7 linked regions of the Mus musculus genome follow. The protein of the gene in region 6 purifies or fractionates together with the protein of the main gene of each other region. This does not show direct contact. Links are inferred from orthologs where the notes say so. Each region holds a gene or a part of one and is shown on either strand. Other genes may lie near its edges.

Evidence for each region.
Region 1: the proteins of Rbm8a (region 6) and Pym1 purify together in Homo sapiens (co-immunoprecipitation; 11 studies listed by BioGRID and IntAct, counting the BioPlex papers as one, with this or other methods). This does not show direct contact. The link is inferred for Mus musculus from reciprocal best matches to the Homo sapiens genes RBM8A and PYM1.
Region 2: the proteins of Rbm8a (region 6) and Ddx39b purify together in Homo sapiens (co-immunoprecipitation; 4 studies listed by BioGRID and IntAct, with this or other methods). This does not show direct contact. The link is inferred for Mus musculus from reciprocal best matches to the Homo sapiens genes RBM8A and DDX39B.
Region 3: the proteins of Rbm8a (region 6) and Ncbp3 purify together in Homo sapiens (co-immunoprecipitation; 3 studies listed by BioGRID and IntAct, with this or other methods). This does not show direct contact. The link is inferred for Mus musculus from reciprocal best matches to the Homo sapiens genes RBM8A and NCBP3.
Region 4: the proteins of Rbm8a (region 6) and Upf1 purify together in Homo sapiens (co-immunoprecipitation; 7 studies listed by BioGRID and IntAct, with this or other methods). This does not show direct contact. The link is inferred for Mus musculus from reciprocal best matches to the Homo sapiens genes RBM8A and UPF1.
Region 5: the proteins of Rbm8a (region 6) and Upf3a purify together in Homo sapiens (co-immunoprecipitation; 4 studies listed by BioGRID and IntAct, with this or other methods). This does not show direct contact. The link is inferred for Mus musculus from reciprocal best matches to the Homo sapiens genes RBM8A and UPF3A.
Region 7: the proteins of Rbm8a (region 6) and Upf2 purify together in Homo sapiens (co-immunoprecipitation; 6 studies listed by BioGRID and IntAct, with this or other methods). This does not show direct contact. The link is inferred for Mus musculus from reciprocal best matches to the Homo sapiens genes RBM8A and UPF2.

What each region holds. Positions count from the first base shown.
Region 1 is NC_000076.6:128,747,041-128,751,254, reverse strand, and holds the start of Pym1 (partner of Y14 and mago), read right to left. Parts: upstream 2,801-4,214; 5' UTR 2,723-2,800; coding exon 2,689-2,722; coding exon of another isoform or gene 2,621-2,688; intron 2,585-2,620; exon of another isoform or gene 2,465-2,584; coding exon of another isoform or gene 2,395-2,464; intron 973-2,394; coding exon of another isoform or gene 918-972; intron 1-917. UniProt on the Homo sapiens protein: Key regulator of the exon junction complex (EJC), a multiprotein complex that associates immediately upstream of the exon-exon junction on mRNAs and serves as a positional landmark for the intron exon structure of genes and directs post-transcriptional processes in the cytoplasm such as mRNA export, nonsense-mediated mRNA decay (NMD) or translation.
Region 2 is NC_000083.6:35,240,550-35,244,545, reverse strand, and holds the start of Ddx39b (spliceosome RNA helicase Ddx39b), read right to left. Parts: upstream 2,801-3,996; 5' UTR 2,694-2,800; intron 1,869-2,693; exon of another isoform or gene 1,792-1,868; intron 1,730-1,791; exon of another isoform or gene 1,711-1,729; intron 1,434-1,710; 5' UTR 1,307-1,433; coding exon 1,096-1,306; intron 472-1,095; exon of another isoform or gene 411-471; coding exon 283-410; intron 91-282; coding exon 1-90. UniProt on the Homo sapiens protein: Involved in nuclear export of spliced and unspliced mRNA. Component of the TREX complex which is thought to couple mRNA transcription, processing and nuclear export, and specifically associates with spliced mRNA and not with unspliced pre-mRNA.
Region 3 is NC_000077.6:73,075,367-73,078,866, forward strand, and holds part of Ncbp3 (nuclear cap-binding protein subunit 3), read left to right. Parts: intron 1-248; coding exon 249-403; intron 404-2,488; coding exon 2,489-2,650; intron 2,651-3,500. UniProt on the Homo sapiens protein: Associates with NCBP1/CBP80 to form an alternative cap-binding complex (CBC) which plays a key role in mRNA export. NCBP3 serves as adapter protein linking the capped RNAs (m7GpppG-capped RNA) to NCBP1/CBP80.
Region 4 is NC_000074.6:70,350,480-70,354,752, forward strand, and holds the start of Upf1 (regulator of nonsense transcripts 1), read right to left. Parts: upstream 2,801-4,273; 5' UTR 2,515-2,800; coding exon 2,299-2,514; intron 1-2,298. UniProt on the Homo sapiens protein: RNA-dependent helicase required for nonsense-mediated decay (NMD) of aberrant mRNAs containing premature stop codons and modulates the expression level of normal mRNAs.
Region 5 is NC_000074.6:13,792,115-13,795,614, reverse strand, and holds part of Upf3a (regulator of nonsense transcripts 3A), read right to left. Parts: coding exon 3,405-3,500; intron 176-3,404; coding exon 120-175; intron 32-119; coding exon 1-31. UniProt on the Homo sapiens protein: Involved in nonsense-mediated decay (NMD) of mRNAs containing premature stop codons by associating with the nuclear exon junction complex (EJC) and serving as link between the EJC core and NMD machinery.
Region 6 is NC_000069.6:96,628,775-96,632,727, reverse strand, and holds the start of Rbm8a (RNA-binding protein 8A), read right to left. Parts: upstream 2,801-3,953; 5' UTR 2,767-2,800; coding exon 2,700-2,766; intron 2,427-2,699; coding exon 2,367-2,426; intron 2,252-2,366; coding exon 2,174-2,251; intron 1,863-2,173; coding exon 1,726-1,862; intron 1,297-1,725; coding exon 1,160-1,296; intron 1,040-1,159; coding exon 994-1,039; 3' UTR 1-993.
Region 7 is NC_000068.7:6,027,969-6,031,468, reverse strand, and holds part of Upf2 (regulator of nonsense transcripts 2), read right to left. Parts: intron 2,108-3,500; coding exon 1,924-2,107; intron 1-1,923. UniProt on the Homo sapiens protein: Involved in nonsense-mediated decay (NMD) of mRNAs containing premature stop codons by associating with the nuclear exon junction complex (EJC).

The sequences.
Region 1 (4,214 bases), on a different chromosome or scaffold from region 6:
GGGAGGGAGGAGAGTGACAGACACCTGGCTGAGGCTAAGAAAACAGAAATGACAGGCCCTAATTTTCCAATGAAATATAAAGTAAGGGTATTTGCCACAAAAGGAGGAATTAAAGGGCTAATGATAGAGTCTTGTAAAATAGTCATAAAAGAATTTAGGCTTCCAGGAAGCAGGAATTGGCAAAAAGCTGTAATATTGACAGAAGTTAACACGAGACTGAATCTTCTAACTTCCGATTTTCTTTTCTTAGAGTCTAAAATCAGTAGCCAAGAAAAGAGTTGATGAATATCATTCAAGACAAAGACAGCCACATGCAGTTCTGAACTAAATACCTGCAATGCAGGTGGCTTAGGAGGCGGGGACAAGAAGAACAGGAGTTCAAGGCCAGCCTGAACTGCAAGAGACTATCTGAAACAGCCAAAAACAACAAAAAAACCCAAAAACAAAAACAAAAAAAAAAAAAAAGAGAGAGAGAAGAGGGGGCTAATATGGCTCAGAAGTTAAAACACTTGCCACATTAATATAAAGACCAGTACTCAGATCACCAGCATCCATCCACATTCACACCTGTGGGCTGGTGGCATGCCTACAATCCCAGCACTTGGGAGACAGAGACAGGATCCCAGGAGCACCCTGACTATCTAGACTAGCTGAGTCACCAAACTCTGGGTTAAGGTGAAAGATCCTGTCAGATATAAGGTGGTGGTGGTGGTGAAGTGGGGTGGTCAAGGAAGACACCTGACATCAACATCTGGCCTCCACATGCATGCACGTGCACACAGACAAGTACACGCATTCACACCCACACCCACACCCACACACACAACCAGAAAACCTAAAGAGGGCAAAAAGCTGCCTCTGTGGATTTGAGACTGTCAAATGGCGACTGGTAAGGAGGCTAAAGCGAAGGGGAATACCTGAAAGGAAATGTGTCACAGATGAAGTCCAGGTTGTAGTAATCCTGAGGTGTAGCTGAAAATACAAAGGTACGTCAATGATCTCGTGCTCAGGAACGAGGGGGTTCAGAGCATTCCCAAGCTGCTACAGACAGAATAACAAAAATAAAAACAAAAGGGCTAGAGAGTTGGCTCAGAGGTTAAGAGTGGCTACTGCAGTGGACCGAGGACTTGGGGGTCTGATTCCCAGCACCGACATAGTGGCCTACAGCTCAAACTCCAGCCTCAGATCTAATAGCTCTTCTGACTTCTGTGGTCTCCAACCACACAAATGACGCACAGACATACACACAGGCAAAACATTCACACACACAAAATAAGTCTTTTAAAAAAACAAACAAAAAAACATAATCTGTGGGCAGTAGATAGGAACACTGCCGTTTTGCTAAAATTGCATTTGAAAAGCAGAGAGGCAAAAGAACAGCTTATTTTCCTCTTCTACAGAGCCACAAAGAACAGAAACTATCTCTATAGCAGGGCAGGGGCCAGATGGAATATAAAAAGAATAAGAAGGTACACATTAAAAGCTGCAAACTGCCTGTCATGGTATTAGACGCCTTTAATCCCACAACTTGGGAAGCAGAGGTAAGTGGATCTCTATGAGTTCAAGGCCAGCCTGGTCTACACAGTGAGCTCTAGGCCAGCCAGGGCCACATAGTGAGATCACATCTGGGGATTGGAGTGTTAAAGATGAAAGTTGCTTTTTAAAGGTTGGGCACAGTGGCTCATGCTTTTAATTTTAATAAGGAACATTTAAAGCAAACCAAGAAGCATAAATGGCACATTTTAAAACACACCGTGCATTACCGCACAATCACAGGATCACTTCTACAAAACCCTAGTCACATATGAAGACCAAGATGAAGGCTACAAAAACAGTCACCGGGTACTTGCACTACGTCTTCCAAATATCTATTTGATCATCTCGAAGTCAATATTGCACATTATCCTAAAGACAAGGCAACTACAAACAAGACAAAAACATAAAACCGATTCTCAGCTTCACACACAAACAGCTGACTTCCAACATTTCAGACAGCTCGACTGAAGTGCTACTCAACCTTTAAGAAATCATGGGGTTCTATCAATTATCAAAGACGTTGAGAGAAAGGCCAGTAGATACTTTCCTGTTTGTTTTCTCCCACTTTAAATGGAAAACTCCACCAAGGAGAAAAGTCAAGTTGAAAGTTAAATTCCTCTTCCCTTCACACGTCTGGATTTCAGTGACACCCACCCCCACCCCCACCCAATGAAGATGGGGCAAAGAGTGAAGAAGAAAGCACTATGTAGCAATGAGATCATCAGCAGACACAGCCCGGAGAGAAAGAATGAAAACAGGGAAGGGTAGAGAGCAGGTACAACAGTAAGAAATGGGGGAGGGAGAAAGGGGGTTGGAATTGGAGGGAACTGAGCACAGGAGCCCATAATGCTGGAGAACCTTGCAAAGGTACGGGACTCCAACAGCTAGAAAGAGCTGAAGCGCCTAAGGGTCCCGGAGCAGGGGACATTGGAGGACCCCAGGGTTTGGGAGACCGGAAGCAGAGACCCCCCCCAAAAAACACGAGACCAGAAGGGGGCGCAGGTAACAACCCAAAAGGAATGAATGGGGAAGGCGGTACGGGGGCGTGGCAAAGGAGGAGCCCCGGGATGGGCGTGGCACAAACCCTTTTCCAAGTCCGAACCCCTAACCCAAGAATCCCGGGAGAGGCGGCTCCGCGATCCCCGCACTCACCGCCGGTCTCGTCAGTTACATAGGGAGTCGCCATCTTGAGAACCCGAACCACTTCCGGCGTGAGCGGGCTGGGGTCCCGCCCCCCTCCCCGCCGGAAGTGGAGTCCTCATCCTAGCAAGCCACCATTTTAATCTTAAAGAGAGACTGCACCATTTCTCTGACGCGGGAGGCGGAAAAGGCGAGTGTAAGACGCTCACAGTCATGGGCTCTTAGACTACCACCGACGCCACTGTTGACCTCCTGATGTATATAAAACAATCCCTAGGGCTCGGAGAGAAGTTTGGGCATAAGCCTTATCCCAGACAGTCCTCGCAGGCTCAAGGCCCACCGGGACCCAGCAGGAAAGCTGGTAAAAGAGGAAAGGAATATGCAAGGCCCCTCGCCTGCACCAAACCCTAGGGCGCGTGTTGGCATGGGCAAAGAAGCCCCAGGGATACACGAAAACCCGGGCTAACACTTAAAAGTGGGCAGGTCTACTCGGCACGCCGACCACTCTCGGCCGCCCAGGTTAACTGATCAGAGACCTACGAAGGGGTGCGCAAAGATCGGCGCACTGCGAGTCGGTCACCTGTCCCCGTGGCCTCGGGGGTGCTGGCGGTTTCCATGACTGAACTGGGGCGGGCAGCCCTGGGGATTCAGCGGCCGGCGAGGTAACTTCTTGGCCTGCTGCTCAGTACTGGATCCTCTCGGGTCAGAGGGCACGGGGTGAAGGCTTTTGGGGCGGACCCAGTCAGTATTCTAATTAGCCGCGCCCCACACTTCGGATTAGCTTTGGCTACCGCGAGCAGTTCCACCCTTAAATCTACCGGGACAGTGAGGCCACTCCCTTTGTTAGGTTGTGCCTTGTTCTTGGAAGGAGCGCCAAAGCCCGGTCCGGTCCCTCCCCTCCTCCATCAGCAATTTAGTTCCTCTGGGGCTAAATCCTGTTAAACTTGTTTCCTCTTCTGTCAGGAAGGTGCTGGCTCAAGCTCCTCTCCTCAGGTGTCTGCCCTCCTCCTACAAAGCTTTTTCCTTAACTCTTTCACCCTCTTCTATTGCCCAACTTTGGCTTACACTAACGTCCAACAGTGCCTCTCAAATTGAGAAGTGGGGAAATATTAGTACTTCAGTAGTAGACAATATGTTCTACTTTAAAACAAAACAACCGAGCAGTGGTGGCGCACGCCTTTAATCCCAGTGGAGGCAGAGGGAGGAGGATTTCTGAGTTCGAGGCCAGTCTGGTCTACAGAGTGAGTTCCAGGACAGCCAGGACTACACAGAGAAACCCTGTCTCGAAAAACCAAAAAAAAAAAAAAAAAAAAAAACCAAAAGGAAAAAAAAAAAAAAAAAAAAGAAACAAAACAGGCTAATAAGAACCTCAACTAAGTTTTCAAAAGCTCACACATTGTCCTCCTTGCAATTCTCCCAGCTTTAACCTCTCTCCTTTCAATTCAAGTCTCAAAATGACTTTAATGCTATTTGCATGCACTACATGTTTTTACACGTGTATACTTCTTTCTTTTCTTTTCTTTTTTTTTTTTTTTTCG
Region 2 (3,996 bases), on a different chromosome or scaffold from region 6:
GACATTCGGCATGTACTTAGAGAAGCGCTCATATTCCTTGCTGATCTGAAAAGCCAGCTCCCTAGTGTGACACATCACCAGCACAGACACCTTTGAGGGAGCAAATGGAGACAGACACAGTAAAGTCAGCCCCTCGTCACAAGAGCATCCAGCAACTTGTCAGTGATGTTGGCGAACATTCCCCTTGAACTGCAGAGGACACCAGCTGAGAACACATGGAGCCAGAAACGGCCTCCTGGTGATTCAATCTCCACACCCTCTCCAGCACTGCCCCCAACATACCTGCCCAGTAACGGGCTCCAGCTGCTGCAGTGTGGCCAGGACAAACACTGCTGTTTTTCCCATGCCTGACTTGGCCTGGCACAGGACATCCATCCCCAGAATGGCCTGCGGGATGCACTCATGCTGGACTAGGAGGAGAAAGGAGAGACATTTTTGCACCGTGCCAAACCCCTTTCTCCCCAGCCGACTCATCATATGTCACCTTGTCACCTTTCAGACCCCATCCTTTCCCTGACCCTCATCACTCTTACACTCAAGTCAAACCCTCCTACCCCAGCTCCCCAGTTCCGCTAAGAAAGAACCCTCGTGAAGCTACCAACAGCTCACCTTCCACGTTCCTGGCTAAACTTACTTTTCTTACACCGCAACAATCTATGAATTCGACTGCCACAGGCCATTTCTCCTACATAGGTTGCTGTGCTTTTGGGTCATGTAACCCTGCAACCTTGAACAAAATGAAGGACTTGGTACCTGACCCAGAAGCCACAGAAGCCAGCATCCTGATCGTTAAGGTTTCCGGAAACGACACTTGGCCTGGCCCAAAAGAAGGGAACTAAAGGTCCAACCAGGCCCTCTCTGGGAGTCCGAACAGTCAGAAAGACAAAAACCAAGCAAAAAAGCCAGGCACAGAACAAATGGCAGCCCTCTGTTTAACGGAGAACAAAAGCCTCTTCTACAGCTGCCGTCTTGGGTACATTCTCAGAGCTTGGCCTATCCCAAATAAATTCAAATCCTATGACCCTAGACTTGAACCTCCCTTTTCTTGCACCAGAGGTGCTAAATAAGGTCTCTACACCCAACAATAAAATGTACCCTCTGATGGATGCTCAAAGCCACAGTCAACGATGGCCCGGAGCAGCTCTGGCTTGAGTAGAAAATCTCGGAAGCCGGAGCTGTGGATGGAGACGTAGGAGCCCTTGACGTCTTTCTTGGCGGGAGCCTCGGTCCCATCTGCCCCAGCGGCTGTCTCCACCTCGTCGTCTTCGTAGTCCAAGAGCTCATTGTCCACATCGTTCTCTGCCATAATTGGGCCGGCAGGGGGAGAAGGGAGGTCTCTTGAGTTAGGTGTCCCAGAGCAGGTGAGGAAGCAAGGGCCAAAGAGAGGGGTTGAAGAACAGCAAGGGGAAAGACACCAGTTTCCGACAGAAGAGCTGGGAGAGGGGACAACAAAAAAACCGGAAAAACTCATCAGTCACGAATGGACTCGTCACTTCTCGTCGATCCCTACACCCGTCCTATTCTTCCCTAAACTGTGAAACCTTTGTCCCGAAAGAAGAGTTAACAAAGAGACTCATGACATAAGAAACGGGAACACCAGACGGGAGAGACAGAGTGGGCTCCACCGCTAACCAGACTTTGTAACACACACTTCGACAGGCAGGAGCCAACTGGGAGACCGCAGTAAAATGAGCGTGACTAACGACTCACACGAGGGTTGAGACACAAAGGACAAGGGAAGACAGAGACTGCGCTTTCTCCTGCCACCTCACGGTGGTGATCCCCAACGTCAGCCATCAGTCAAGGGTGATAGATAAGGGTCAGCACTGCGCAGAGCGCTCACTTCCCAAATGCAAACATCATGTGGCTGCCGCTATTCTCTTGCTCAGAAACCCCCGAGTGGCCGTCCCAGCGGCGCACACCTGGACCGGGGAACAGAAGCAGGAAGGAGGGTGGTGCGGGGCGGAGGGTGGGAAGTGTATGAATGGCTCCATTTCAAGAAAAAAAAAATTTTTTTGTTTTGAAAAAGATGGGTGTGTGCAGTTCAATGGCAGTGCTTGCTTAGTAACGCGAGAGGCCGCAAGGTTCGGCTCAGCGCTGCCAAAGTTAATTTTAAAAGTCGCACTAAGGAATTAAGGTCACAGCTGAGAACGATGCAGGATTAAGAGTGTGAGCCGGGTGGCCTTAGAAAGGAACGCCTTGCAGTGCTCTCGGAAAAGCTTCCCCAGAAGTGCGCGACACCATCGGCCACGCACAGAGGCAGCCATTCACAGAGAGCTCCAAATAAGGCAGCGAAAGCGGGGTCAAAGGGCTGGACGGGCCCCGGAGCGAGATCTTCCCATCCCTGGGCGAGCAAGAAAAGGCCCGGAGGGGAGATGCGAGGGGCCCCGCCCTCCTCCTGGCGCCGCCTCCGGCCGCCGCGGCCCCGGGTGGGCAGAGGACCCACTGGAACACCCAGGAAGCGCGGAGACACAATGGCGGCCGAGGCCACCATTTTGGATCGTTCCCCCCTTGTCTCCCAGCTCCCCGCCAAGATCTGCTCTCAGAAAGGGGTGAAGACAACAGAACTGGACGCCCGCCTGCGCGCCGGCGGCCACGGCGCCGGCCCGGCACCGGGTATCAGGGACCCGCGCGGCGGGGCGAGCCGCGGGAGAAGCAGATGGCGGTGGATGGTGCACAGGGCCAAAGCTTACCTAAGCACTGCGAGCGTGTATGGCGGCAGCAACGGGGACGGAGGCGGGAAGCTGCCTTCACTTCCGGTTCCAGGCTCGCCCCGGCCTCCCGCCTTCCCGGCCGCCAGGGCGCACGCGCAAGGAGCCGGAAGCAGGCTTTCGCCGCGCGCGCTCCGCGGCTGGCTTTGCAGAACGCCCACTTGAAATGAAGCTTCAGACGACGCCTCCTCCGGTCGCCAGTAGCAAGAGCGCGACAGGAAACTCACGTCTTCCCCCGCAGAGCTCTCCATTTTGTTCTTCTACGCTTATGCAACACCCTCCGACGGTCGGCTCTACTTTAGTTTTGTTTGCCACGCCAGGCTTCTCCCTGGGCACCTCTCTGTGGGCATGGAGGACTCCGCGATCGAATGAGAAGCGTTTCTCACGGGGTCCTTAGCCTCGTAGTCAAGGTGACCCGAGAGCGGCTAACTCGGGCCTCTGCTGGAGGGGAGGGGGACACGTGACCACGCCCATTACAGTCGTGCAGAGAATAGGCAGGATTTACCCAAAATTATATCGAAAGATGGAGGCTTACATTCTGTCTAGGTGCTAAATAAATGGTGGGGTTTGAGGTTATGCACCTTTCCATAATTCTTGCTAACTAGAGCAGCAGAATAATCTCAGTTCCATTATTCAGCCTGGACATCCCCCTCCCCCCATGTGGTATTCCCTTTGAGATGTTACATATAGCAGAAGTGTTGTCCTGTTGCCTTGCTACATAAACACAAGCTCGGGCTTTCCCTATTAAGGACACTTAATATTAATACAAAGTAACACTAAGTATCAGTGTTGCCAACCAGCTGGCTGTGTCCTGCTCAACGCATAAGCTCTCTGGGCTGGGGCTTGGTAGCTTTTGATCCCTCCGCATTTGGCAGCCCTAAGCAGCAGGCCGGCGGGTTTTGTATAAATCAGAGAGGAGTGGGAATTCCTCGGCCCTGGTAACTTATTACGAACTGTAGCTCCAGAAAGTGCGGTACCTGGGCCTTTAGCTTTGAAGCGTTTCCAGGAACTCTCCTAGTGACCTAGTTGGCGGGCTCTTAGCCACTGTCTTCCTGTTACTGGACCTAATGTGACATTGTGGAGGGTAGCATAGTAAGGTTTGTCCCAGCTGACCCAAGTGAGCCAAACTTTCTGCTTTACAGCCAGCAAAGGGTGTTTGCACCAAACACAGCAAACAGCAAACTCGTGCAAATGAAGACTTGTGTTTGCACCAATCATAATATTGTCCCTTTGGCATCAGTGATAACACATCTTCCTGCTACTGGACTATGGGAAGTTCCACCCT
Region 3 (3,500 bases), on a different chromosome or scaffold from region 6:
TCAGTTATGTGTTCTATGATAAAGTGTACAGGCATCATGTGGAAACCACCCTGTCTAAGTCTGCAGTCTAGTTAATGGTCACCATCTTTTCATAGCATGTTGATCGTAGTGAGCTATTACAGTGGTAGTTGTAAGTCAGTGACGGTCATCTTAAACTGAGTTTTTCTGAAGTAGGAGACTTTTTTGCATCTTTCCTCGCAGTTGAAGTTGGTTACTTATGATCTCTCTGCTTTTTCCCCCCCTTAAAGGAATCCCATGAGGGCAGATAGTATATCCACAAGCAATATAAAAAACCGAATTGGTAACAAATTGCCTCCTGAGAAATTTGCAGATGTCCGTCATCTCTTAGATGAAAAGAGGCAGCATTCCTGTCCACGGCCAGCAGTCAGCAGTACTAAACCAGGTATTGTTCTTCCCTCTTTTGTGCTCCTGACTCCCTTTTTGTAAGCCCCTTGAGTGGCTTGGTTCCATCCCAGATTACTCTAACGTTTCCAGCCCCTCAGTATGCAAGTGGCCAAGCTCTCTGCCCTGTAGAGGAAAGAAAAAGTCCAAGATCTGGCAGCAAAATCCCACAAATCCCAGGCCACCCTGGAAAGTATCCCACCACTACCACCAAGGAAACCTATATAAAGTCTGGGTCCTGCTCAGTTCTTTGCTCTCAAGCAGAGGTAGCCACCCTCCTGTATCCTTCCCAATAAATGTATGGTGAGAGATTTGTTGTGCAGGGTGACTTTGTGGTATTCATTGGCTTCTAACTGCCACTATACTTTCCCCTCAGAGTTAATCCTGATGCTTGTGAGCACCTGAGAGCAGATGGGCCCAGGGTAGGTTCTTCTGAACTCAATTAACTGTTCCTCTTCTTGTACCTACATCTTTAGTTAGGCGTCCATGAGAAAATAAATAAAGTCGGATTTTGCAACAAAACTACTTTTCAGTATTTTTTGTTTGAAATAATAAATAAATACTAAATAATAATAAATAAGTAATATTACTTCCCTGGGATATTTTATACCCCAAACCAATAAAGTTGGGTGGTTAGAAACATGGTTGAGTGTGAACTAGAGTGTATATGTGAGCAAACCCTAATGAAGCAATATAAGCGTGTGCTTATGGCTAGGGCTGGCATGTGCAAGTCTTTGGGGAGGCTGCAACAGCTGCCACAGAGCTGCTGAGACGATTCGAGCCGGTTTTTGAAGAAAGCAGCTTTAGAGTGTAGTCTTGGGAGGACTAGGACACAGCTGACAAACTATCTTTGGAGGGAGGAAATAATATGATTCTTATTTTAAGAGGTGATTTTGAAGGATTAGAATATAGTGGGCATAGAAGACAAAGTAAAAAGGGCTAAACTTTTTAGGGACAATGACGTCAGAAGGGGTGAGAATGGAACCCTGGGAAGGAGGAGGATGGAAGAGAAGCAACTGAAGAGGCTCAGCCTGAGCTCTTGTGAGGAGTTTACTTGAGAAGTCAAGAGTAGGCTCAAGGCTGATGAACATGTGGCTGCTGTCGCTGCTGCGTGTTAGGGGAAACCTCAGGCCCAGCGGCTCTGTGACGGACTTGGAAGAGAGCACACTTAATTTAGGACACAGCTCCTTTATCCTTGGCCTGTTGCCAGTCTCATTACACTTGTTGGTTAAATGTAGTAAGTTTATTGAGAACTACTTGTGTTTTCAAGGATTGTGGCTTGCAGTATTGTTAGCTGGAAAATGTGATGTGTTACTTAGTTTTGCTTGATTCTGGCAAAAAAGAAAAAAAGAAGAAAAAGAAGAAGACTGCTTCAGGCACTCAGCTGGTAGCCCCTACATCCAAGTTTTAAGTTTTCTTAAGAGAAGCAAGACCAGTTATGAACAGAACCAACCGGCTTCTAGAAGCCTTCTGATGCTGGGTGCTGTGCCTTCACTATGGGAGATTTGGGATCAGGTCTCTAGAGAGCTGTACTGATTAGTTTGTTTGGTTGGTGCCTCTGCCTCTTGAGGTCTGGGATTAAAGACATTTACCATCACCATCTGGTGGCTGGCCAGACTTTTTTTTTTTTTAATCAGCTTAAGAGTTATGGAGGAGGGAACCTTAACTGAGAAAATGCCCCTGCCGGATTAGTTTGTAGAGAAGCCTATGGTGCATTTTCCTGATTGCCGATTACTGTGGGAGGGAGGGCTCAGACACTGTGGGCAGTACCTCCCCTGCACTGTTGGTCCAGGAATAAGGAAGCGGGCTGAGCAAATTCGAGAAGCAAGCCAGTAAGCGGCACTCCTCTGTGGCTGTGCATCAGCTCCTGCCTCCAGGTTCCTGCTCTGTGAGCTTCTGCCCTCACTGCTTTTGATGAGTTGTTATATAGAGAGTGAGTGAAATAAACCTTTCCTCCCCAGGTTGCTTTTGATCGTGGTATTTTGTCACAGCAGTGGCAGCCATGGCTAAGACAAAAGCCTAGTTCATTGGTACTGAGGTAAAACACGTATGCTTGGTAACAGGTATACTTTTTCTCTTTTGGCAGATATTCGCCAGCGGTTAGGAAAAAGACCGTATTCTCCAGAGAAGGCTTTTAGTAGTAACCAGGTGGTTCGGAGAGAGCCCTCTTCAGATGTACATAGTAGGCTAGGTGTTCCCAGGCAAGATGTTAAAGGCCTCTACTCTGATACTCGGGAGAGGAAATCAGGTGAGTAACACTTCACAGTGATGGAAGGGAAGGAGTGGAGACCAGTGGTTATAGCATAAGAAGTAGGTAGGTCTGTGTTTGTTCCCTCTTCAGTTAGCATGACTTCCTTTGTCTACATCAGCATCAGCACCATGCCTACAGGAAAGTTCAGGAAGGAGAAAGGAGAAGCTATACATCCTTGCTGCTTTTTAGTTTCACATTATTTAGTTTCTTTGTTCACACATATATCTAGTTTTTTTTTATGTAGCCTTTTTTTCTATAACTCTTCCATTTTGCTTTACTCTTCATAAGTAAATTAAACCTTTAATTATCTTGTAGTATATGTATATCACCACATTCTAAACACATGCTTCTTTGTAAGGTTTTAATAAAACACTTCTTTTGGGGGATTTTTTTTATGTTTTGCTTACATGTTTGTCTGTGTACTGTGTACATGTCTGGTGCCCTTGGAGGTGGGAAGAGGGCATTGGATCCCCTGGAAGTGGAGTTATGGACTGTTGTAAGGTACCATGTGGGTGTTGGAAACATAACCAGGTCCTCTGCAAGAACAAGTACGCTTAACCAATAAGGCCTTCAGCCAATACATAAACACACTTTAAAAATGTATAGCTGAAAACCTGAGAATTGCTCATAGTAAAACAGACCCGTTCAGTTTGCAGAATGTGAGAGTTGGCGGTTTCTTGGCAGACTGAGGGGTACACAGCCTGGGAGAGAGGCAAGTGTCTAGTTTGTGCCTGGTATGGGGACACCAGCCTTGAGCTGTGAGCATCTCCCATCGAGTCTCAGGCTGTCCACTTACAGACTGGCACCAAGCACCTCTCCCGATGTTTCCTGCAGAGCAGGTGTTGGC
Region 4 (4,273 bases), on a different chromosome or scaffold from region 6:
GTCATGACAGCAAGTGAGGAGGTAGGCAGAGCCTACAGAGTGTCTGCCCAACAATAACAGGGCCCCGAGTTTGGTCTGCACTTCAAAGTAGTGAGCCACAAACACAACAGACACAGGACAAGTATACTATGCTATCTATCCAGCACAGGAAGGGCCTGGGACATTTATATCCACAGAGGCCACAGGACTATTGGTGGCTGAAGAGAAGCTGAGGGTGCAGGGACTCGGGATGCTAGGATATTACTTGGTATTAATGATGTTGGCCCAAAAGGCCACTGTGCTGCCAGCTTTCCAGGGATAAATGCAAGCTCCATGACCCTGCTTCAATAAAGCTGGGAGAGGACCTCCATTGGCCAACAGGAGGAGCTCAACCTACTGGGTGGGGGGTCCAGCCTCCTTGGACCCCCTGAACAAAGGCTGTGTGACCCATTTACCTCAAAGGACAAATAAGGAAAATCAATGTTTCTTGGTGGCAGAGGGCCCTGGGTATGCAAGGAAGGAGTTTCTCTCCACTTTCCAATTCTGTTCACTTTCTCCCCACAGATGCAGGTCCTCCGAATACAGGATTGAAGGCGCTCCCTCCCTTCCTTGTGATGAGAGGCCACAGGTGGGTGGCAGCTCATGGCTCAATCTATGATTTCAACTGGCGGAGCAGGGCACACCCATGTGAGCACACGCACAGCCTGAGTCTGCTCTGCACATTAGCTAGAGCTAAAAGACCTTGAGATGAAGCAGGCCACTTCCACTCGTCTCCCCAACTGCGCCATCACAGCCCTTCTCCAGGTCCATGAGGCCCAAAGGAAACAAGGAAGGTCTACCCAGTGGGGAGACTAACAGGAGGACTAGCTTGCAGGGCCACCTCACTCCTCCAGGCAATCTGCCCTCTCCCCACCTCCTTACACTAAAGGTAAACAGCTAGAAACAACAAGCTGGCACACCTGATCCGCATCGCAACAGGAGCTGAGTCAGCCCTCTCCTTCTATTCGGGCTGAAAATGAGCCCAAGTGGGTGGTCTACCCACAGGCATGACTCAACCAGCCAGCTTGAAGGCCCTCCCAGAATGCGGTCTGAGATCACTGCTGAAGACTGGTGGTGGCTCCCTAGCCCTAAGTACAGATGGACTACAAGAACACCTGTGGCTCTAGCCTGCAGCTCCCCCCCCTCCCCGAGAGAATACAGGAAAACAAAGCCAAGAGGTGCCTGACACCAAGCCAGCCATAGAGAGGGAGAGCATTTGATGGGGAGGCAGAGGGGGCCTGGCCCTGGCCCAACCTGAAATGCCTACATCGGCAGCCTATCATTCAAAACAAAAGCCCCTCCCCAAGGCACAGTCACCCATGTGGTACCCATTGTGGGTAAGGAACAAAATTCAAACCCAACTTTTCCAAGCAGAGCCTAGGAGTTACATAACACCGGTTTCAGCAACAGGCAACCCAGAAGGAAAAACAAACCGGCAGTCACCTCTCCATCCACAAAGTGGGCTATTTCCACTTGAGGCGACAAAACCCTGGCTCTGCTCCAGGGAACCCCTAACCCAAACTTGAACTTGAACCCTGGCTGGAGGGGGTGGTGGATGAAGTGGCAAAAGGGTGAGATGGGGTGGTTGGACTAGCCAAACAGGTGACCCTGGAGGGCAATGTGGGTCCGTCCAGAGGATAGCAACTGTGGACAGGTCACCTTAGACATACCTAGGAGGGGAGTGAGGGAAGCTCTGGCTTAAGCCTTGAGCCGAGCAGATCCTGCGCTACAGGAGGGACACTAATGCAGGTCACTGCCCAGCCTAGCAGGGTGGAGGAAAAAAGGACAGGTGGCAAGTAGCTGGGACAAGAGGCTGGGAATCAGAGAAGATGGTAGGTAGCTGGGTGGGCCAGAGCAGCAAGGACTAGGGCAGGTAGCAGGAACCTGAGTCAGGTGGCAATGACTGTGGCAGGTAGACCTGGAAGAGGTAGTTGGAATAGGGTGGAAGCAGAGATCTGGGAAAAGGGCAAGTAACGGGAACCAGATCTGGTAATAAGGTACCAGAGACCTAGGGCAGGTGGCGGGTACCTGGGCAGTTTAAACAAGAATCCAGGGTGGGTAACTGGAGCTGGCCAATAGGGACTTAATGTTTAAGGAGCCAGAGCAGGAAGCAGTTACCCAGGCTTGTTAACTGGACCTGAAGCCGGTAGCTCGGACCAGCGCCGTCTAACTGGGACCTGGCTCAGGTTCACAGGGGCCCAAGGCTGGTTAACTGGGATCTAGCGCCGCAGCTCCCGCGCCCGCCCGGCTTCCGGCGCCGCCATGCGCCGCTCAACTCACTTGTGCGTCGAGCTGGCCGGCCGCGCCGCCTGCGCCCGCTCCGCCCGGGCCTCCCGCGCCGCCGGGGCCGCCGGGGGGCGTCTGCGTCTGGCTGGGAAGGGTGAAGTCGGTGAATTCGAACTCGGAGCCCTGGGTGTCGGCGCCGAGCAGCTCGGCCTCCTCAGTGTCCAAGAAGGTGAGTGTTTGCGAGCTGGGGCCGTACGCCTCCACACTCATCCTGCCGCCCGGGCCGCGCCTTCAGCGGGCGCCTCACCGCACTCGAGCCCGAGGCTTCGGCTAGGCCTAGGCCGTAATCCGGAGTAGCCGCTGCCGCCGCCCTGAGAGCCGGGCGGGCTCCGAGTCGGCCTCCGAAAGCAGAGCCGGGCCGCCGGTTCTGAGCTCTGAGTTGCCGCCGCCGCCGCCGCCGCCGCCGCCGCCGCCGCCGCCGCCGCGCCCCTCCGTAACGCTGCTCGCCTCAAAGCCGACCGCCGCTCTCAGACCCCTGGACAGGAACCGCCGTCGCCGCCACCGCTGCGGTGCGCGTGCGCGAGCCGGACGCCGGCACAGATGCGCGTGCGCGAGTCCGACGCCGGCGCAGGCGCGCGCGTTCCTCCCGGAAAGTAGCCAACCGCACCGGAGCACTGGGAGCTAAGCGGGAGGGCGGAACTCGCCGTGCGCCTGCGCGAAGAGGCGGGCCTTCAACCGCCTAAAGGACCTGGGCTCGCGAACTTGGCCCCGCCCCAACTGCTGCCTAGCGGTGCGCATGCGCGCATGCGACGTCCTCACCTCCGGGCTTCAGGGCTGGATGTTCGTTAGGTGCTGATTGAGGCTCTCTCCAGAAGGTTTTGGGTGTGGAGCCTGTGGCACGGGGACCACGCACCTGCACTCCTTGAACCTTAGTTACCCCGTCTGTCACTTGGCTCGTGGCCATTCTCAGTATTCATCGATTGAATAAATGAGTAGGGAGCGGGGACTCTGCCAAATGGTAGTCACTGCTACCCCGAGCACTCCTGAAGCCTGTGAAGATAAATGCTTCTTTTGTCTTGCGATCAAGTCGCACTGGTCCGAGCTAGCCTGGGAATCGCTGAGAAGGGGTCAGGTCCCCTAGAACTAGTTATGAATGGATGTGAGCTCCTCTTGTAAGCGCTGGGTGCACAACTCTGAGCCATTTCTCCGGCCTGTTTTGGTTTTGATTGAGGGTCTCACACTGTAACCATGGTTGGTTTGGAATTCGGGGGAATCCTCCTGCCTCAAAGTGCCTGGTGGTGGGGTGACAGGTGTACATGCAATGTTGACCACGGAACTAAGGGCTCTTGTGTGCTAGGCAGAAGCTACCAACTGATGAGCATCCACAGCCAGCTGCGAGACTTAGAGAAACACTCCTCCCTGGGTTTCCTTCCCACTCTTCAGTGGAGGAAGTGTAAGTGTTGCAGCTCTGAAGGGAAAGGCATTCCCCCCACAGAAGTGTATCTGCTCTGCTTGGGCAGGGGGAGGGGTGGAGGTGGTTCCCCAAAGTGTTTCAGCTGTGCTCCAAAAGATCCTGGCAATTGGGAGCCAAGAAATAGAACAAAGTCACAGCACACAACAAACCTAACACGAGATTTATTGCGAGGGAAAAACCCAGGAGGGTGGCTGCCTCTGCTTGGGTGGATCTCCCAGTAAGGACACTCCTTAAAATCCAAGCACTCAGGAGTCGAAGGCAGGGAGATCTCTGTAACTCTGAGGCCAGCCTTGTCTACAGAGCGAAGTTCAGGACACCCAACATTACATCATCTCAAAACACACAAAAACAGATGCTGAGTGTAGAGGCGCAGTCTCCCAGGACTCTGGAGATGGAGACAGAGCAAGGATTCAAGGTCATCCTAAGTTGTATAGCAAGTTTGAGGCCAGCCTGAGGTATATTAGAACTTGGCTAAAAAACACAATGAAACAAACAAAAACAGATAAGTAAATGTTCCATCAGGCCAAGGATTAGTTAGCCCAGTTCGCTGCAACC
Region 5 (3,500 bases), on a different chromosome or scaffold from region 6:
TCCGCTCCTCGCGCTTTTCTTCCCGGAGTCTCTGAAGGTAGAGCCAAACACATATGTAAGTTTCCTGTTAGAAACAACAGGTACGGGACGGATGCCCACCAGGTACAAATGTTACCTACCTGCTTTTCTAATTTTCTGTTTTTAATATATTCCAAAAGAGGGGTGGTCCTTCTAGCTAAAGAAAAAAAAATTATAATACATTACATATAACTTGTAAACTGAGGTTTCTCTTAAGTTCTTGTTTCCAACTTAACATTAAAATAATTAGGGGAAGAATATGATCTCTAAAGTGTGAGTGTGCACCGCACCTGGGGACATTCATATTCTGTTACAAATTCAAGTAATCTGTAGGTGCTGGCAATTCTGATACACTGACTTCTCGCCACTCTTGAAGTTTTTATTAGCATATATCAGTTATACATAATAACGGGTCATTATGACATTTTCATACACATGTATAATGTATTTTGATCACGTTTATACTCCATGACCTACCCATGAGCCCTCTCTCTCCTGCTGACCTTTCTCTTCCCAACTAGTCCTCTTCCTCTCACGTCTACCTTTGTGGGGCTTTTCTGTTTTTGTTTTTGTGACCTAGTGAGTTTAATTAGGGCTCTTTATAGGGAGGAATACATATATGTGGATATTTACAGAGCCATAGGCAACTTAACAGTGAACAAAAAGACACATGACATGTTTTCTTAAAAAAGGTCAGAAGACATTGCCCACATACTTGGCAAAACATGTGTATGTGTGAGATCTTAAGCTTCTCAGATGTTACTAATTTATTTTTATCCTTCTGAGGAGTCAGAGCGACATTTACACACTGACTTGGATGCTACATGTATTTTCAGAACGTTTTGCTTTTCCACTGTTGAGGTTTTTTTTTTAAGATTTATTTTATTTTATCTGCATGTATGGTATGTTTATGCCTGGTGCCTGTGGTGGTCAGTACAGGCTGTTGATTCCCTGGAACTGAAGTTAGTAACGGCAGTGAGCTGCTGTGCAGGAGCTAGGAACTGGGAACTGGTCAGGTCCTCTGCAGATCAACAAGCCCTCTAAGCACTGTGCCATCTCCCCAGCCCCAATGCTACAATGTCTTTAATGCACGCCAACCTAACTCAAAAGTCCAAAGTCTGAAATGCCCTCAAGGAAAGTTTTGAGTACTGACGTAATAACACAAGTGGAAAATTCTAGATGTAATTTTATGAGATAGGTCAGTCAGCACAGAAACACACTGCACGTGTGGTATACACCTGCCTTCTAACTGTGTTTAAATACATAGAAAACACAACTGTTATTTAGACTTGTGTGGCATTATACACACACACACACACACACACACACACACAAATATTCCAAAGCCCCAAACAGAACATTTCTGGTCTTAATCATTTCAGGCAAGAGCTATTCAATCTAAAGCTTAGAAATGATTGCAGATGGCACTGCTGACTCAAAACCAAACCAAACCAACAGAAAAATCCACCACCCATCTCTCTCATCAGAAGTATGTTTCCACATTTTACCCTGAATGCCACCTTTCCTACGTCCTACCTCTCATGTCTGTTTGGGATGTCAGGTGCCCACATGTATCAGAGGCCTACAGGTTTCCCCAGAGGGAGCAGCCCCACAGCCCTCCAATGTGAGCACACGGTGAGACGGTGGGGATGGGCCGCCCGACAGACCTTTAAGACCTCATAGTGAACGGGCTGGGAAGAATCCTGGATATTGCTGCAAGTTGGCACTGAGGACCTTTGACACCTGGCTAGAGACCAAACGGGACTCAGCCTTAGGGAGAGTGGGCATGCTCAGGGCGCCCACGCGTCGTGGCAGGTGCTGTGCTCATGGATGTAAGCAGTCTGGCAGAAATGAATTTATTTTAAAGAGACACTTTGGCTATCAGACTAGGAAAACAAAGGACCCCAAGATAAAGTTTAGTAGCACTGACTTATCCCTCCTCCCCTCCTAATTACCTGTCATAAAAGTTTACAAGGCTCAACAAGGTGATGATGTTTGCTGAGGCCATGAAGTGCCAAGTCTCAGAGCTAATCCTAGGCTGGTCCAGTTGGAACTCCTGGAAGCCACAGTTAACACACGCTTGCTCACCTTAAGCCTGGTCTTTAGTTCTTTCTGCCCCTGAGCCCCCACACTAATCAGTCCATCCTCCTCCTTTCTGTCCATATTTGACTTCTAAAACATGCCCAGTATATTACAACAGCCTTCCCTGCGGAGCCAGAGCTCTCGGTCAGACCCTTGCTTCTCCCTGGCACTCACCAGCACTGTGGTCAGAGCAATGAGAGGAGTGTGTGTGTGTGTGTGTGTGTGTGTGTGTGTCCCGGGCGGAGTCAGGTGTCAGGTCTCAGCACAGGGCTTCTTACATCTCTCCAATCCCGTGAGCTTACGTTCTGTTCCTACAGAGCTCCAGACTCTGGTCTCTTTATTCCCCATATACTCAATTTTAAACATCTCTTTTCTGCCACTACAAGAGGAAAATATAGATCCACTGTGGACGTGGGGGAGGAAATCGGGAAGGGAATTCATGTGGAAACCAACAAACCAACTAACTGTATGTGAGATGCTAGGCAGGTGAGCAGGACACGTAAGGGATGGCAGGCATTGGGAAAAGGGCTGTGTGTTCTGTTATGTGTATGAATATTCGGCCTGCATGCCTGTCTGTGCATCACGTGTGTAATATACACAAAGGCTAGGAGAGGGCGCTGGATCCCCTGCGACTGGAGTTAGCAATGGCTATATGTTGCCATCTGGGTGTTGGAAATCCAACCTGGATCCTTTGGAAGATCAACCAATGCTCTTAAACTATGAGCCATCTCTTCAGCCCCTAGAGGAGAGGTTTAATACTGAGGCCATCAGGAAATGGGACATTCAGGGGTGTCTGAGACTAAACTAAGGGGTTTCATGTCTGCTCGTGAGTTTTCTGAAGAGACAAACATTTCTAAAATACACTATTTTAGGAAAAAGTTCTATGAGGATTCTAACCAGATGCTAGACTCGAGCTGGGCTTGCATTGACAGGTTAGCTTCCTCAGAAGATATCTAGCTTCATATATGAGCCAAATGTCTTGTCTCTATAGGTTCCCAAGGCCCACTGTGGCTGCTCTGCAAAGACAGTCACTCTGCTGCAACAAAGTGTCCTCTCTGAGCAGCCAAGGGCGTGCCCCTGTCTGTGGCAGCACGGCCATTCTAAGCCAGGACCCCAGAAGCAGAGTCTCCGCTGAGAAAGGCTCGGAAATATTTCCCTGCGCTATCGCTTTTTTGTTGAAAGTAGAAAATACTGTTTCCATCAAGCCTGTAGTGGAAAGAAATTTTACCCTCATCTTGAAAAAAGGAGAACTGGACATATACTCCATCAGTAAGTATCTCAATAAACAAACGAGCAGAACAGACCCAGGAGCTCTCTCGTCTTGGCTTCTATCTCTCCCAGCAGCGTCTCGGGACTAGCGCTGGTCTTCTCCTCCTCCAGGCTGTACGACTCCAGGAACT
Region 6 (3,953 bases):
CACGCCTTTAATCCTAGCACCTGGGAGGCACAGGGGAGACAGTCAGGGCTACACAGAGAAACCCTGTCTCAGAAAAATTAAAAAAAAAAACAAAACCCCCCCCCAAAAAAAAAAACAACCAAAACCCTATGATAAAGGGATAGCAATGTCTTTTTTTCTTGAGACAGGATCTCTCTGTGCAGCCCTGGCTATCCTAAAACTCTCCTGTAGACCAGGTTGGCCTTAAACCAAAAGATCCACCTGCTTCCCAAGTGCTGGGATTAAAGGTGTGCATATTGTTACATAGTACCCAAGCTGGGTTTTTTTTCTTAAAAAAAAAAATTATTTATATGAGTATGTTGTAGCTATCTTCAGAGGGCATGGGATCCCATGGTGAGCCACCATGTGGGTGCTGGGAATTGAACTCAGGACCTCTGGAAGGACAGTCAGTGCCCTTAACTACTGAGCCATCTCTCCAGCCCATCAAGCTGGGTTTCTTTTACATTGTAAGAACTAATAAACTTCACAGTTCAGCACCATATTCAACATAGAGTAGGCTAAGCATCACAAAGCCCCTGAAGTTCAAGGCCAGCTGCACAGGCTCTGACAGAGAAGCAAGAGACACTAATATAACATCTGCTCACAAGAGTTATGCAAAATACATTCCTTAATTCCACAAGAAAAATCTCATTATCCCTACCCTTATCTTCTAAGACAAAGAAATGCTGAACAGTCTCCATGAGCCTTTCTAGAAACTTAGAATGCCACGCCAGACAGAAGGATCTTCACAATCATTCACAATGCCCCACTGTAGTTGTTCAGTTTCCAGAACAGTAAAGTAATAAACATAGAAAACAAAATGGAACATTTATTTTTTTCTAAAACTCAAAAGCAATGCCAAGTAGATAGGGTAAGAAATTAAATATAAACACAAGGTCCGCCCTAGCCCTGTTTATCCAAGGCAGCATAACCAAATGGACTTGTAGAGAGACCACCCAGTCGACAGAGGATTTATCAACGGCGTCTCCGGTCTGGACTCCTGCTTCGTCTTCGGCCTCCTCTAAGAAAATGAAAAAACAGAAGGGGAATATCAGAGATCTAATACTGAATCCTTATTTATCTTGCTCATGTTCCCTTTACTAAGATAAATAAATGTACAACCCCCATCCCTTCATCTTACCTCCTCTTGCCCTTTGGTGGTCCACGAACAAAACACCAGTCCACACTGATTGGCTGCCCCATCAAATCTTGACCATTTAGTCCTTCCATGGCAGCCTGAGCCTCTTTGTATGTTTCATATTCAACTAGAGTATACCCCTAGGGGAGCATATAAAAGTATCAAAGCTTAGCCAGGCGTCACACACACACTTTTAATTCCAGCATTAGAGAGGCAGAGTCCAGCCTAGTCTACAAAGTGAGCCCAGGACAGCTAGGGCTCTGTTATACAGAGAAACCCTGTCTCAAGACAAACAAACAAACAACAAAAAGTATCAGAATTTTACTTCACCAACCAAGTACTCTTTTCCTTAAACCAGAAATGCATAGTTACAAGAAAAATTTCGCAGCTATACACCACATATCCCCATTATATACACAAACATGCTCATTCTGTTTCTGTCTCTTTCATGTGGGTAACAAAATCAATTTCCAATGTCATTTCACTTCCTACCTGTGCTTGATCAACTCACAAAAACAACATAATCAATGTATCTAAGAGTTGTAAGTGAGGGAAGCAAGAAAATCTACCTTCAAGTATCCCGTGCGCCTGTCCAAATTAAGGTGAATATTTTTTATTTCCCCATATTCAGCGAATTTGTCATGGATATCTTCTTCAGTGGCTTCTTCGTGGACTCCAGTGACAAAGAGAATCCAACCTTCAACAGCTGTTGGGTAGGGAAAGTGTTGTATGAACATGTAAGCTAAAAAGCCCAGTATTCAGGAGGCAGAGGCAGGCAGATTTGTGAGTTTGAGGCCAACCTGGTCTACAAAAAGAGTTTCAGGACAGCCAGGGCTTAACAGAGAAACCCTGTATCCAAAACAACAACAACAAAAAAACCCAAAACCAAACAAACTAAAAAAGAAAAATTCTGAAAAGAACCTACAATAAGCAATTTTCTGAGACTGGTTAAACAACTCTTTACTTTGCATTTGAGTGCCAGTGCACACAGACTCCCCATAGGTCCTATTTACTTACAGCGCTGTGGTCCAGGTTCATCGCCGTCCTGCTCCACACTGTCGTAATCCTCCCGCATCCGCGCTCGGGACCCCTCTTCTAAAAGAATTCATACCAGATCACCGAAAACTGTCCTCCAAATGTGTCCCCCTCACACTCCCAAATTCGCGGGCTTCTGCCTCTTAGACCACTCTACCCTATTCCCCACACTCACCGGAGCCAAAGCCGCGGCCCTTCCGTTTCTTTGCTTTTTCTTTTAGTTTGTGGATGCTTTCTAGAGTTCCAGGTGAGAAAATAAGAAGCAACAAAAATAAGAGTCATTTGAAAAAAAAAACAAAAAAAACCTGTCGCGTTTCCTAGACTATCTGGAAGCTTCGACACAGACTCCAGCTTCAGTCCCTTCCCAGTTCCGCCCCTAATTCCTTTCCCAAGGGGGAGGAGTCTATCTTTTCAGACCCAGTTCGTGGGGTGACGTCCCAGGAAAATTTCTACTGCATTCCCCTCTCGCACCTTCCCCTCTTCCCGCAGTCGCCTCCACTCTCCTCACCGTCCCCATCCTCATCCATGGCGAAATCTTCGCCCCCCGCCTCGTGAAGATCCAGCACGTCCGCCATCTTGCTTCTCTCGGCGCTTTCTGAGTCTCTAGAAGCTAAGCACCTCGGGAAGCTGTCGCAGAAGAAAAACGTCACGAGTTAGGCTGACCAATTAAAGGTTGCCTCCAAGTCCCGCCCTCGGCGCGGTGAAAATTCGCCAATGTAGGCGGCCCCACTATGAAGCGCTAGAAACGTCCAGCACTCTGGGACCCCGATGGAGCTCTGCGAGTATGAGGCCGTAGGCTACATGGTTTGTGATTGTGTTTTGTTTTCTTTTCTTTTGAGGCAGGGTCTCTCTATATAGCCCTAGCTGGGCTCGAAGTTACAGATATCCAACTATATTCCCCTTCCACATGCTGCTGGGATTAAAAGCCTGTGCTACCACGCCGGGCTCCAAGGCTACAGAATGAGACCCTTTCTCAAAAACATAAAAAGTAAAATAAAGTGGTTTCGGAAGTTCTACAGCCAAGTTGATCAGGTAGATTGAAGGTCCGGAGCGCAGCCGCGTTGGGGCAAATTTAAAGGGTGAGTGAAGTCAGTGACTTTCTCATAAAACTTTCAACTAGCAAGAAATCCTTTGATACATATCTACATATATGGGTTTATTGAAATGACTTACGGGCTGCAGTCCAGCTAATTGGAGAATAACTAGATGTGTCCAGAAAGTCGAAGAATCTAGTATTTGCTTAGTTCCACAAGGCTGGATGTCTCAGCTGGTCTAGAATCCAGAAAAAGTAGGCTCCAGTGCCGGTGAAGAAACGGACTTATGAGCAAGGCAAAGTGCAAAAGTTTCCTTCATCCATGTTTTTATATAGGCTTCAGCAAAAGGTGTGGCCCAGGTTAAAGGTGTGCCTGCCCGCTTTAATCCCAGCACTTGGGAGGCAGAGGCAGGCAGCTTTCTGAGTTCGAGGTCAGCCTGGTCTACAGAGTGAGTTCCAGGACAGCCAGGGCTACACAGAGAAACCCTGTCTCCAAAAACAAAAACAAAACAAACAAACAAAAGATTAAAGAAAAGCCTGTGTCTTCCTGCCTCTAGATGTAGCTCAGAGGTGTTCTTTCCTACCTAAAGTCTGGACTAGAAGTGGATCTACCCACTCCACCAAACAGAAAATCACAGGTGTGCCCCTCATTTCTGGATTTGTAGTTCATTCCAGAGAGAGTAAGCCTGACAACTGAGAAGAACCATCTCAGGTGTTTTTGTTTTTGTT
Region 7 (3,500 bases), on a different chromosome or scaffold from region 6:
GCTTTGTTTAAAATTTAAGAAATATACTCTTCGGCTTTAGAATATATTTACTCTCATTTCTGCTCTTCACAGTATTAGCTGGAACCTCCAAACAAAAACTGAGTCATTTTGGCTTTTAAAAAAGTCTTAACCTGTATATTCTGTATATTCTGTCTACCAAAAGGTATGAAAATCACTTTAAAAAGCAATAAAATGGTGTAAACCTGAAAAAAAATCCTAAGAGTCAAACAACAGAATTAAGTATGGTACAGTCAAACAAAAGAATACAATCTTAAAACAAACAAACAAACAAAAACCCCAAAGACTTTTAAAAAGTCCAGTTACAAAACTGCAAAAACATGAAAAGTTAAAAAACAACTATCATAAGTCATATTAACATACCAGTCTTTCTAACTGCACTACAGGTGGTTTTCTTTCTATTTCTCAGAATTACTGCCATAAGCATCATCTATGTTAACACTGTAAATGGTTTAAGACATTAAAAGTTAATTTTAGTACTTCCCACTAGCTTCACCTTGCATTGGATGCTATAAAATTAAAATGAAAAGTTCCCAGGTGCTTGCGACAATGGCAAACAAAGCATGGTGCTGTGGTTCATCAACAGGAGGGTTACGTAGAACACACACTATGCATACAGCCCCTTCCTTTTATTTAACTTCTAAAGCCAGGAGGATGGAGACTGATTTTAAGTGCTACCATCTTTATAGTTTCAAGCCATAACGGTGACTCGTTTTTCTTTCTTCATGTTCCTCATAGATAGTTCAATGTCTTTTAACCCTTTAATTTACAACAAGACAAAGCAATCTTGTTTCTTCTTCCTTATGCCCCTATACACAGTTGTACCATTTATGAAAATTTCTGGGCCCTAGGGTACATCTTAACAATTTCAGAAGATACAAAGAAGGAGATAATGCTTTGTGTGAAATGCTTTATTCAATTAGAAATCTGAAAAGAAAAAGAAACTGGGTAACCTGGGTCAAGGCTGAAAAGCCCTAATTCACCCTCGGTCTTTGTGAAGTGAGCAGAGAACACAGCACTACGTGCACACTGAGTGCAGAGATTGGAACAATCAGGCAAACACAAGCATAGTCCCCAACTCAGATTTACCCTGGAGGTGGCAAGCATATCATCAATATTCTGGATACCTGGGGTAGGGAGGGGACTGTCACTTATACCTTCACTTCAGACTGGTTCTTCAGACAAGCAACGTAACAAAGCAATACTCTAAGTGTAGCTGACAGTAAGGATACATATGAACACACCAAGTGCTAATGAGAAATGAAATAACTCTGAGAAGATAATGATTATGAAAATACTACAATAAAGCAGACTGACTAGGTTGGTATGACTAGACTTTGTATTTGTTACCTGTTGACCAAGCTAGTAAACTACTATATTCCACAGGGGCGACATTCAAAGGTTAAGTCTTCTAGAAGCACCTCAGAAAGCTAAAGAACATTGTACATAGAGTCCTCTAGCAGCACATTTTCTCTAGACCCAGAAAAAGAGCCAACTCCACTAATGAATGAGACCTTAAAATTGGTAGTTGTTCCACATTTCTAACAAGTACTCCCTCTCTACTTCAAAGTCTGTGTGTTTTCAGGAATAGTACCAGCTGGAAATAGGAGACATTTTCATCCAAACATTTGCTCAGAAACCAGGGTCTAAAAGTAAGAGAGAGCAGTTGACACGACTGCATTTTTCCTTCACTATCTCTTGCTTTAAGTCCGGCTTGATCGTTTATTTCAATTAGAGATCACTTGGTGAAACCAACCAGGTCACATCTAAAACTACTATGCAGTACTCAACATCAAAGATACAAAGTATGCACACTGAAAACTCTGACTGGAAACATTAGAAAACAGATTCTAGAGATAATCTGACCAAATCCCCTTCATTTTCTCTCTGTAATAAATTGCTTACCTAGTTTTATTAAGAATTCTCGTTCCAAGTCTTGTACCTGCCTGATGGATTCTTCCAGAGAATTACAGAGTTTGATCTTTGGTCTTAGCAGTTCTAGTGTATCACTGATCATGTAATCTATATCAATAGGAAATGGATGGTCTTTTGTCCAAACCTCCAAACTTTTCTTCCACCAAACATAACGCTGATAATAAATAAAAAAATAAATTTAGCTATAAGAAATTAATAACAAAAATTTAAAATAGTACGTTGTACTGTGGTATTACCTAGTTATAATAACTAAGTTAAAAGGTTGAACAAGAAACCTTTAATTTTTATTAATGGACAACAGCAATGATTCTAATTCAAATATTTTCTCCTATTTATATAATTTTTGAACCAGTTGTTGAGTTTAGTCTAAAGATTTTTTTATTCTGCTGTCATAGGTTAAAAAAAAAAAGAAGACATGAAAAAAGTATAAACAAAATGTCAAACACATTTTAGGGTTACCACAAACAGAGCTGACACATTTAACTTTATAAAAGTAGATTTGATGCCTTAGTTTATGTTACCTGCTTCTTTTTTTTTTTGGAAAAAGTTCTATTAAAGTATTTAAGGATGAACCCAATCCCTTTTTTTGGAGACAAGATATTTCTGTGTAGCCCTGGTTATCCTGGAACTCACAGAGATCTGTCTGCCTCTTCCTCCTGAGTGCTGAGACTAAAAGCATGCACCACCACACCTGACAAAGATAAGCCTGACAAAGATAAAACTTTTTGAAAAAAATATATAAATAAATTATGAACATTTACTATCTCTGCCACATATTTCTGTCAAATTAATTTGGAAAACACCTTTGTTGATCTTTGGTCCTAAGTATTTCGCAGAGACTCTTTTTCTCTGAGGCTGGAATAGCAGGCATCAAATAAGAAATTCTACTTTAGATATTAATATTCTTTGGAGCAAAACTCAGGTATTTAATATAGACATCTCCAATTTAAGCAAGTCTTACATATAACAGGGACTTTGACCTTCAAACCTGCAAACTCCTTTCTTCATTTCTTGTTCATAAACTTGTAAGATAAGGCAGTATGTATAGAAGTATAAAAAAGTTAAAATGACATTCCCCAACATTATATACTCCTACTTTAACCCCAGCTACTACGTGAATGCATTTCTGATGCCTCAAGTTATAATACCAAACTATCCTTTTCTCAAGAGGTAAACTGTAATAACTGTGGTTGTGTAAAATCAGATACTATTGATATTTTACTTGGCAGCATCTTAAGCACTTGATGACAAGCTGCCCTTTCTAATCAGTACTTACTATGTTGTATTTTACAGGAAATAATGATTGAGGAACATATAAGCAACCTAGAAACCTTACAGAAATTGTATGATTATCCCTGTATTTGTACTGAATTTAATTTACCTCATACTTATTCTAAATCACAAATTATGGAATAAATAAAAATATGAAAAGCACAACCAAAGAGTTAACAAATAAATACATTTACTTCCTATGTTAGAAATGTTTATGTAAACTATTATTTCTCTAAGGTAGGTAAGTAAACAGATGAATAACTAGATACATCGGA